2 linked regions of the Drosophila melanogaster genome follow. The protein of the gene in region 1 interacts with the protein of each later gene in a pairwise test. Each region holds a gene or a part of one and is shown on either strand. Other genes may lie near its edges.

What was found.
Region 2: the proteins of kek3 (region 1) and feo interact in a two-hybrid assay, tested with the Drosophila melanogaster proteins (one large-scale study listed by BioGRID).

The regions. Positions count from the first base shown.
Region 1 is NT_033779.5:15,550,646-15,555,782, forward strand, and holds the start of kek3 (kekkon 3), read left to right. Parts: upstream 1-2,077; 5' UTR 2,078-2,164; exon of another isoform or gene 2,165-2,228; intron 2,229-3,864; 5' UTR 3,865-4,385; intron 4,386-5,137. Other genes in the region: CG15256 (uncharacterized protein), read left to right, coding at 136-393, 452-476.
Region 2 is NC_004354.4:10,851,839-10,857,027, forward strand, and holds feo (fascetto), read right to left. Parts: upstream 3,032-5,189; 5' UTR 2,767-3,031; coding exon 751-2,766; 3' UTR 608-750; downstream 1-607. Other genes in the region: sofe (sister of feo), read right to left, coding at 3,610-5,189.

The sequences.
Region 1 (5,137 bases):
GCTGTTTAGGGATATAAAGGGTATATTGGGAAAATGCGAGCAGCTTGAGGTCTTTTGTTTCGATACCCAATCACACCTATATATTGGGATTGTGGATTACTGTGTGATCTTTCACCTTACTTTACTTTTCCGCAGTCCCCGTTACGGCATTTCCCTAATCGAGGACAACATGGAACCGCCCATGTTGTCGAGCTACACAAGGCAATACTCCCAGCCGTATCCAAATCGTTGTAAGCCCTTTGTTCAAAAGACGGAAACACCAGATCCCATATTCAATCGAAGGCCGAAAAACGATTTTGAGTTTACCACAGGACTGGATTTTAAGTTTCTTGATGATCACATGCACAATCTTTCCGAATCACGCAAGAAAGTCAACTTCTTCCGGCAACTGAGGTAAGAAAAATAATCTTAATTTTAATTTATAATATTAAAAATTTCTCGTGATACACAGGAATCAATCATTTCTTCTGTATTGACATGGTTAACAATTTTTCGAGCTAAAATTACAAAACAAAAACTATTAATTTGTAACAATTTGACTCCATCATCGGCAAAGTTACGCAACGTGGCTCCTATTTTAAGAGCTTTCAGTTGTGCCATGATTATAAATTACCCCTCATTATGTTCCGGGAAAAATGTGTCAATTGCATTTTCCATTACCCCTTCGTTTTCGATAGAAATCAATTAATTTTGCATAAATAAACTCGATTGGCAGCGTGGTCAGGGGAGAGCCATGTGCTTGACTATTATTAGGTTATAGCCGGTACACTTTTCTTGGAAAAATAGCAAGCAAATTGCAATTAATAATGCAAAAGGCAGCAAGCCAAGTCCGATACTCGGCCATTGCTGCGATATTCGCCGCGGGCACTGGCATTGCTGCCAATTTGCATAAATGCTAGAAGAGCTCTCCCGTTGGCCAGTGGGACGTCGGGCAGGAGGGTGGTGTCAAACTAATGGCAGTCTATGACAGGGATCTGATTTATTATGCACGGTAATTAGTTTGGCCTCCTTAGTGTCCGAATGGAAGCCAATAAACCAGGCTGACATGCCGCTGCATTGATTTTGCCCCGAGGAAAGCGCGCATAAGCGATGGATTTCCTTCTACCGTCCAGCACCGCAAGCATCGCCCCAATGGAGTGGCCAAAACATAACAATCTCCGGCAGACAGGAGTATGAAAGTCGGTATGAATGTTCCGAGGTGTCAGCCTGCGGGGAAAGGAGCTGAGCGGACTGTTGCCTGGGCATTGTGACTCCACAAGGCATGCAGAGGACACGTTGTCCTTGCGCTGAAGCTGTTCATCAGAATCCTTGTAGTGAACTTTTGTGTTTTTTTTTTGTGATTTGGAAAATAAAACAGAGGGCATGCAATTTTTTATGTTTCCCGAAAACTAAATCTTATAGTGAAATCATTTTTAAATCATTTAAGAATAATATAAGAATGCATGTTGTACCTATTAAATTTAAATTCTCAATTCATTCTTAAATAGCTTGAACCATTTCAAGCAATAGAGGATATATGGTAAATCAAACTACGATAATATTCCCATGAAAGAAGGTCCATCTATGCTTAGCTCAATAATCTGAAAATCTGCAGGTAACTGGTTTGACAGTAGAGTGACTGGGTTGAGTGAAAATCAACCCGTGTTCTTATAAAAATCAGTTTTCTACGACAGTAAGTGAATTGGTCTTATCATCGGTTTTGGCGCAAACAAAAACCAGCTTGCTTGCTTGACATTTTGGCACATTCCTGCCAGACGCCTGCCCACATTCGTCAGCCCGAAGGACAAGTCAGCTGGCAAGGATATATGGAGCGGGGCAGCAGTCTGGAGGCCGATAAAACCTGTCCCCCACCGAACACCACTGATAAGAGCCAACATTCACCATAGCACATGGGTCCTTTCACCAACGAGTAATGCAGAAAGCCACCACACTCCAATCACCAACAAAAGCCGGCTCTCTCATGTGCGACTGCGTTGCTCTCTCTCGGGTTATCCTTCGGCTCTGATAAGACCCTGCTTCGGGCGATGGCCGAGGCCCAGTTCGGGTCACCTGCTGGCGTAGCTCGTTGCCCAAAGTCAGTTTACTCGGGAGCGCGGCGGAGTTCGTTTAGCAGCGGGCCAACGGTGCGGATACTTGACTTGGGCCAGAGCTGCCAACTGAATGTGTGAGGTGCCAGTGACCACGAGGACGAGTGCTAATCTCGACAATCGGGCTGTGTTATTTAGCAGGCAAGCGGCTGTTCTACCGCAGATCAAAAGTTTCAAAACACCCAAATGTGTCAAGCAAAGACGGCTCAAACAGAAATAAAAAAAAAATAAATAAATAAATAAAAATACATATATGAAACCCAGTCAGAGCAGAGCTGATGTGTGCGAGTGCATGTGTAATTAATTTTTGGCATTTAAATTGGCCGACACCGGGGCTTTAAATCAATTTGACAAATTTGCATTTTTCTGGGCGCAAAAAAGGGAAGCCCGAGCAAGGGCAATTTCATTTACAAATTACAAATTGATGTGGCGCCCGTGGAAGGGCCCGAAAAACAGCAGCAATCAAGGGTCGTCAAAGGGGGATTGAGGATGAAGGACAACGAGGGAGGCCTGCCAAATGTCCTTACGGCGTTTCCTTGATTCCGTTTTCGAAATCGTTTGTCTGATAGGCAGCAACGTGTTTGGCTCGGAGGATTAAGTGGATTACGGGGGTCGTCTTAAGGATTAGTTCTTGGAAATGTTCGGGCTATCAATCGACGGGTATCCTTGTGGAGTCAACTTTTAAACCAGCACCAAGCCCCGACTTTTAATACTAAATAAGTGGATCCAATAAGACGTCGATATATTTGTTTTCCTCATATCGTATAGCAATACAAGAAGAGACAATTATGTTTAAATGGGTTTGAATAAGTTTTTAAATGTGTATAATTATGTTTTTATTAATATGTCATTTCATTTGTTTATTTTTTTTTTTTTGTTTTCACGACACCTTCTTAATGGCCTTATTATAAAGACTGAAATCATTATTTCCCTTTTCATTCTTTAAATATCTTAAAATTCATGTAACCTCTGTAACTTCTTCATTGCCTTGGAGGAATTAATGTTATACGACAACTTGCCGACATTAAAAATTTCATAACTGATTAAAATACTTTAACTTTCATATTCAAACCCATTTCTTTTTTTACTTGCTTTATGTGGTGCGAAGAAATCTCGCATTTACACTACAACGAAGAAAGCTGAGAAGAGGAAAATGGAAAATCGGGGAAAGCTGAGTGGCAGCAAGGAGTAATAATAATAATAGGAACAAAATAAAAGGAATGAGCCAAAGAAAAATGTCTGAAACGTGCCTCGTATGCAAATATTTGCAAAACGCAGACTAATAAGTGGAAGAAAAGACAGGCGACAAAAGCGGCCGGGGACAATGGGCCATGCCAGGAATGAGACTCTCGACGAATGTCTAGGTGTCAATGTGCCGGGGGCAAGTTTTGTACCCCCCTTCTTAAAAAAAAAAATCCCCCAGGTTGTTTGGTGCATATGAAAAATACGCCACTTTTTTCATAAATTAAAGAATCATTTCTCCCCCATTTATAACAATAACAGAAGTCTGTCGACAACCTCGACACTCCTAAAAAATTCTCATGTGCTCTCGCCCTCAAATGGGAAAAATGAAATAAATTTCATTGCATAATTCATGGGGCATCGGGGAGCAGGGGCAAGACAGCCGCTTGCCATTTTGTATGGTCATAAATCTTTTGGCATATGGGCTGCCATTTCGCATCATCATCAGCAGCGAGAAAGAAATGTGAAATCCGTAAAAAGCACACATGGAAAATATTTAAAAAATTAAATTTTTATTGTTCTTCCTCATCGTTAGCCAAATACCCATAAACAATTCATCAAAAAGGGAGCAAGCAAACGAAAATAAACAACAGATATTGTTTACAATTGCCTAAAATGGCAAGAGACAACCAAATAAAATAGTTTGCAAATTCATTCCATGACAAGTGTCTAAAACAATAAGCACAAAACGTTTTATAACTCCCTCTCTCTCTATCTCAAAATACAAACAATGAACGGCAACGGCACCAACACCAAGTGCAGCAGCAGCAGCAACAACACGGCGGCAACATCAACATCGTCAGCAGCAGCAGGTTCAGTCAGTCGGTCATCAACGAAAACAACAATGCTGGCTACAACTATGTTCTATGGCTAATACAAAAGCTACAAACAACAAATCGCCAACAACAACTAAGCCAAAAGTTCGCCAAAGCATTTGATGCTAAAAAAACAACAAGAAAACCTACACAAACAGCAGCGCAGCAGCCACATCAACATTGGCAACACTTTTACGAGTTGCAAACTACCTTGTACAACGAATTTTTATTATTGCACAAGGTAAGCCCTGGCCTTTTGCTACATTTTATTTAGAGTTCACTGTAGGGGGCGGCAAATTGATGTCCTTGGTCACCTTTTGCTGGCAAATCGAGCAGCAAAATTTAATAGTAGATGCTCCATTTTTCAGGGGTTGACAGAACCTGACCTATCGCAATTTCAGATGAGTTGACCGTGCACAGAACTTTGTTCTTTTCTGCAAACAGTTTGTCAGGAGGAGAGGGGCGGAATACCTACAACCAAAATTACAATAAAGTAAAATGAATCATTTAAAAAAATAGATTTTTATTTGCGAGAGCAGTTTTTGGGTGAGAAATATATAAAATTATTCAAATATTAGGGATAGTTTTCTTATTGGTTGCTTTCAAGACCTGAATAAATAATGCCCACAATTAACTATGACATATGGTCTTCGTTTGCTAAGCTGTGGGAAAAAGTTCCTTACTGTCTACCATTTCCAAGAGAAAACTGATAGTTAATAATTAAAGTATGTGCCCTCAAAAACCATAATCCAAAGGCCAACCCTGACTTGCCAACCTCCTTATAATGTGACCCAAAACTTGTGGCCAAGGAAAGTGCTTTCACCGCACTTTATATATTGGCCGAGGCAATTCACTCGCTCGCAGCTCAATTAGCCCCCTTATCAGGCAGTCTGTAGTTGGGATCCGGGCAAATCCCCGTAATTAAATGCAAGCCACATGCTTGGCTGACTAACCCACATCCTGCAGCAGCAGCCACCACCGCCAACACATTCC
Region 2 (5,189 bases), on another chromosome or scaffold:
CTCATCCCGAACATCAAACTATTCCAGTGTAGACTTAAGCTTTCCTCTGTACATAAACGGTATCCGAATTGGGAGGAGCTGTTGCACCGCACCGGGCTCTGGCCAATTGAAGGGTTCATCACTGGCGCAGGCACCACACGTGCCGCCCATTTTAATGTGTTAATATGTATTTAATAGTCAAATAAGAACTGCTCTACTACAGTGTAGGCGGTTGGAATCTTTTTATAAAGCTTGCATCAGTGCGATTGTATATTAGTATATTAAAATTAAATTGCACATAGCTCCCCCTCCCTCAAACAATTGACAAATTGAATTGTATATTAGTATATTAAAATTGAAGTCCAAATAGCACCCCCTCCCTCTAACAATTGACAAATTTAGTTGTATATTAGTATATTAAAATTAAAGTGCAAATAGCTCCCCATCCCTCTAACAATTAACAAATTTAGTTGATGATCAAATAAATCGTGAAAGCATAGTAAAACATCGAAATGTACAGCTATTTCTTTTTGGTGGAAAACTAGCAAAAAATTATTAACAAATGTACAACCAATTCCTGAAATTTACACACGAATTATGCTGAAAGAAATGTGAAATACACTCGAGTCTTGTGGTCAAGCGAAAAAACTCACATAAATTTTATTCTGAAAACGTAAAACAGAAAATAAAAAATTAAAATACATCAAGAAACTCCAACTGTTATGAAATAGTGTAGTAGGTACGCGTTAAGCTAGTCAATCTCCAGTGGAACTAGAACTGTCTGCGCGGCTGCACGATCATCAGGCTTTCCCGCGGCACCGGCAGATTGGCATTCATTTCCGCACGACGAGTTCGCGGCACGGCCAATTGATGACGCTGGCGCGGCAGCATCGAGGAGCGACTGGTCGGCTGAAATTCGTCATAGCTGACACCCTGCTCGGGATTCTCGTCCGTTGTGTAGTCACTGCTGTCGGGTGGGGCGTTCTGATCGTTGGACTTGGTGCGCGCCTTCTTGCTGGAACGCGTTCCAATGCTGCGCCTGCCCATACCGCCGCTGCGTCGCAGTGTGTTGTCCAGTACGCGAACACGTTTCAGCGGCGACTTGGTGCTCTTCAGCTGGTTATGCTGCTGGCTGGGCGCGAGCAGGTGCTTGGCTGGCGACGCCTTCATCGAGTTGAGTGTGTTCATAAGGCTGCGCTTGGCGTTGGGCGTTTTGGGGCCCGTCTGCAGGCCGGACGGATTCAGGCGCTTGTGCAGATTGCCCGTACTCTTGGTGATGTTTAGTGGACGGAGGTGCTGCTGCGACGGCGTCTTGCGCAGCGACATGGTGGAGCTGGAAAGGGTCGACATGTTGCGCAGCGTGCGCGGCGTGCGTGGAGCTGTCGAGCCCGTTGCCGGCGGTGGCATTATCTTGCTGGCCGATGGCGGTGCCTTCTTGCGCGCCGAGCTCTGCTGTTTGGCCTGGCGATGACGCTCCCAATCGGCGGCCATCCGCTCCAGGATGTTCTCGCCGTGCACCAGAAAGGGTGTGTTCTCCTGCGCCTCGTATGCCTGCACCAGTTCCGTGATCTGCTGCTCAATCTTGGGCAGCTTGGAGGTGATGGCCTTGCGCTCCTTCTCCTCCTTGAGCAACTGGCCGCCACGATTGTTGAAGCGATTCGGCTCGCTCGCCTTGGCCTCCAGCGCCTCCATGCGCGACCAGAGTTCGGCACGGCTTTCGTACAGATCGAAGATCTCCTTGTTCTTGTTGTAGAAGGTCTTGAGGTCGTCCAGCTCAAGTTCGTGGAGCTCCAGCAGATCTTCGTTGTACCAGTCGTTGTAGTAGTTCGAGAAGCGCTTGCGCTCCTGCTGGCTCTTAAGTGTGAGATCCCACATCTCCTTGATCTCGATGCGTAGCTGCTCGATGAAGGTTTTCAGATTCTGGCGTCGCAGGGCCTGGCAGCGCTGCAGTTCCTCCCGCAGGACATCGTAGGTGCGTTGAGTGTAGGTCGTAGCCTCGCGCACGCGACGCATGGCATACTCGTCTGTCTCCTGGAGTCTGTCCCACAGCACATGGATCTTTTCGCGCATATCGTCGATGCGCTCCCTCAGCTCCTTCACCTGGTCGGCGAAGTTCTTTTGCATGTTGCGCAGGAGCTCGAAGGTCTCCGGCGTTAGGCAGTGATCCACCTGGTTGAGCAGACGCTCCTCGGTGTCCGTCTGGGGCAGGCACTCAAGCAGCTTCATGTCGTGCTTAATGGCCTGGCGCAGCTGGTCCATCTCTTTGAGGCGCAGCACTCGCTGATCGCGTAGCTGGCCCAGGCGATTCCGAAAGGCGTCCATCTCCTCGGGCAGCGGCAGTGGATCCGCCAACAGTGGCAGAGGCAGCTCTCCCAGTTCCTCGCACAGCTGCTCCTGCTGCAGCAGAAGCTCACAGATCTCCGCTCGCCGCCTGGCCAGCTGATCGCGTAAGTGCTCGATGCTTTTGTCCAGCTTCAGCTCCCAGACGACCAGCGGCATGGACTCCGGCCGCTCGCCAATGTCCAGCGGCTCGTGGAGTAGGCGCGTCAAGTCGGTGGCCTCTGCCCGCAAGGCGGCTATATCGTTGAGGATCGCCTGCTGCTTTTCGCGCGACTCATTGAGCAAATCCGTGAAGAAGCTGTTCGCATGGTCCTTCAACCGGAGGAGGAACTCACCGCAGGTCTTGACCTCGAACAACTGCGACCACATCGCGTGCAACTGATCCACGTGCTCGCCCGTCATCTCCAGGATCTGGGCCTTCACCGCAATGGCGCTCGGCGAGTTCATTTTCTCCGTTTTCGTTGTGAAATTTGTGTTTTTTTTTTTTTGTTCAAAATTTCTTTTCTTGCGTAAATGCTCACTGGCTTTGTTTTTTCGTTGTGTTCACTTGGGGACTATTTAACCAGCATATCTGAGTTAACTTGACAGTTGTGTCGCAGACCCACAACGCTGGGCAGGATTGCTCGGGAATGTGCGGATTTATTTAGTGGTTTATTTAGAGTGCATCACTGCACGAAATTTCGAACTGAATGAATCGATGACGCTAGACAGAAATTTCGGTAAATTCAAATTGAAATGGCGGCCAAGAGTGTTGCCACCGCGTTGTGGGACAGCATTGCCACGCGGCGGTAACTTCTGGTAAAACCAGGGCTGGAGCATACGCCACTTTTTTGAATATTTAAAATTCGTTATTTGGTTTATTAGCAAATTAAAATATCTATTTTAATTATTTTGCTCCTTAAAAACGTATTATATTCTCTTATATGCGCTTAGTAAACATCCCACAGACTTTAGAAAACCCTTCCCACACATGTATATTTTGGTAAAATTGAAATCAAGTAATTTATAATGTAAACAAGCGTTTTTATCTGACTAAAAATTTAAAATGTGGACAATTGTTCATTTACTTCTTGCCGTCACAGGTAGTGCAAAATAGTTAAAAGAATTTTAAAGTTGTAAATTTAGATAGTCTTTGCGCTAGGAAAAGCCCTAACACTATACATATGTGTATACATATAAATACGATGAGTCTGCAATTGCGAGCCAAATACTTCAGTACAGGTAATAGATATAGAACACAGATCAGTTGCCGAAATGATTGCCATTGGATGTGATTAGAGTCTAGCTCCATTATATGGCCACGACCGCCTCCTCGTCGGGACTCTCGTTCTCCTCGCCGGACGGCGGACGCACATGGATTTTTGGTATGGGACGAATTTTCTGGGGATTCCTGCTCCCTGTGCTCGGCCTGCCGGATCCCTTGCCCCGACGCACCGAGTATTCCAGCACGCGCACCTTCCTCTGCGGCGACTTGAGCAGCTTCTGCCCATTCACACAGACCTTGCGACTTGCATTGTTGCACTCCAGCGATGCGATTAGATTTCGCTTGGCCGCTGCTGCCGGCTGTGGACTATTGGTGTTGTGATGCTGTGGATGCCGTCTCTTGTGCAGATTCCCTGTGCTCATTGCCGTGGTGCTGGCATTTGCCTTGGTCGGCGTCTTCTTCAACGAGGATGTGGATCCATGGATGCCCCGGTTGCTCTTCTGCGTATTGGGCGTAAGAGGCACCATTGGCGGCTTCATTTGGCCGCTCGTATTGCTGCCATCCTTCTTCTGGGCGGAGGGCTGCTTTTTGGACTGTCGATGCCGCTCCCAGTCCGCCGACATGCGCTCCAGTATATCCACGCCGTGCACCAGGAACGGCGTGTGCGTTTCACTCATGTAGACCTGCACCAGTTCGGTGATTTGTTGATCGATCTTGGGCAGACGGGACATGATAGTCTTGCGCTCCTTCTCCTCCTTGAGCAGCTGTCCACCGCGATTGTTGAACCGATTTGGATCGTTGGCCTTGGCCTCCAGGGCCTCCATGCGCGTCCATAGCTCGCCTCGATTCGCGTATAGCTCAAATATCTTCCTGTTGCTGTTGTAGAACTCCTTAAGGTTGTCCAGCTCCTTCTCGAACTGCTCGAGAACATCTTCGGTCTGCGTATCACAGTAGTAGGTGGTGAAGCGCCTGCGCTCCTCGGTGCTTTTCAGTGAAAGATCCCACCACTCGTTGATCTCAATGCGCAGCTGCTCGATGAAGGCAATCAGATTCTGCTGCCGCATCGCCTGGCAGCGCTCCAGCTCCTCGCGCAATATGTCGTAGGTGCACTGGTTATAGGACGTGGCTTCGCGCACACGACGCATGGCGTATTCGTCGGTCATCCTGAGCCGCTGCCAGAGGCATTCAATCTTGCCGCGCATCTCGTCGATGCGGTCGATTAGATCCTGCACCTGGTCGGCGAACTCTTTGTCCATTTCTTGCAGGCGCACGTAGGCGTAGGGAGTAAGCTTATGGTTATCCGCATTGAGTAACCGCTTTTCCGAGTCCGTTCGCAATTGAAGTTCGAGTAGTTTTATGTTTCGTTTGATGTTCTGGCGCAGCTCGTCCATATCCCTGAGGCGCTGCACTCGCTGATCGCGCAGCTGGGCTAGGTGCTCCCGAAAGGGGTCCATCTCCTCGGGCAGCGGCAGGGGATCAGCTAGAAGTGAAAGCGGCTGTTCGCCCAGCTCATCGCAGAGCTGCTGCTGTTGATGGAGTAGCTCCCTGATCTCTGCCCGTCGGCTGACCAGCTCTTTGCGCAGTTGTTCGATGTATTTCTCCAGCTTAATGTACCAGATCTCCATCGGCACATCGTCCGGCCGCTCGCCAATGTCCACCGCTTTGT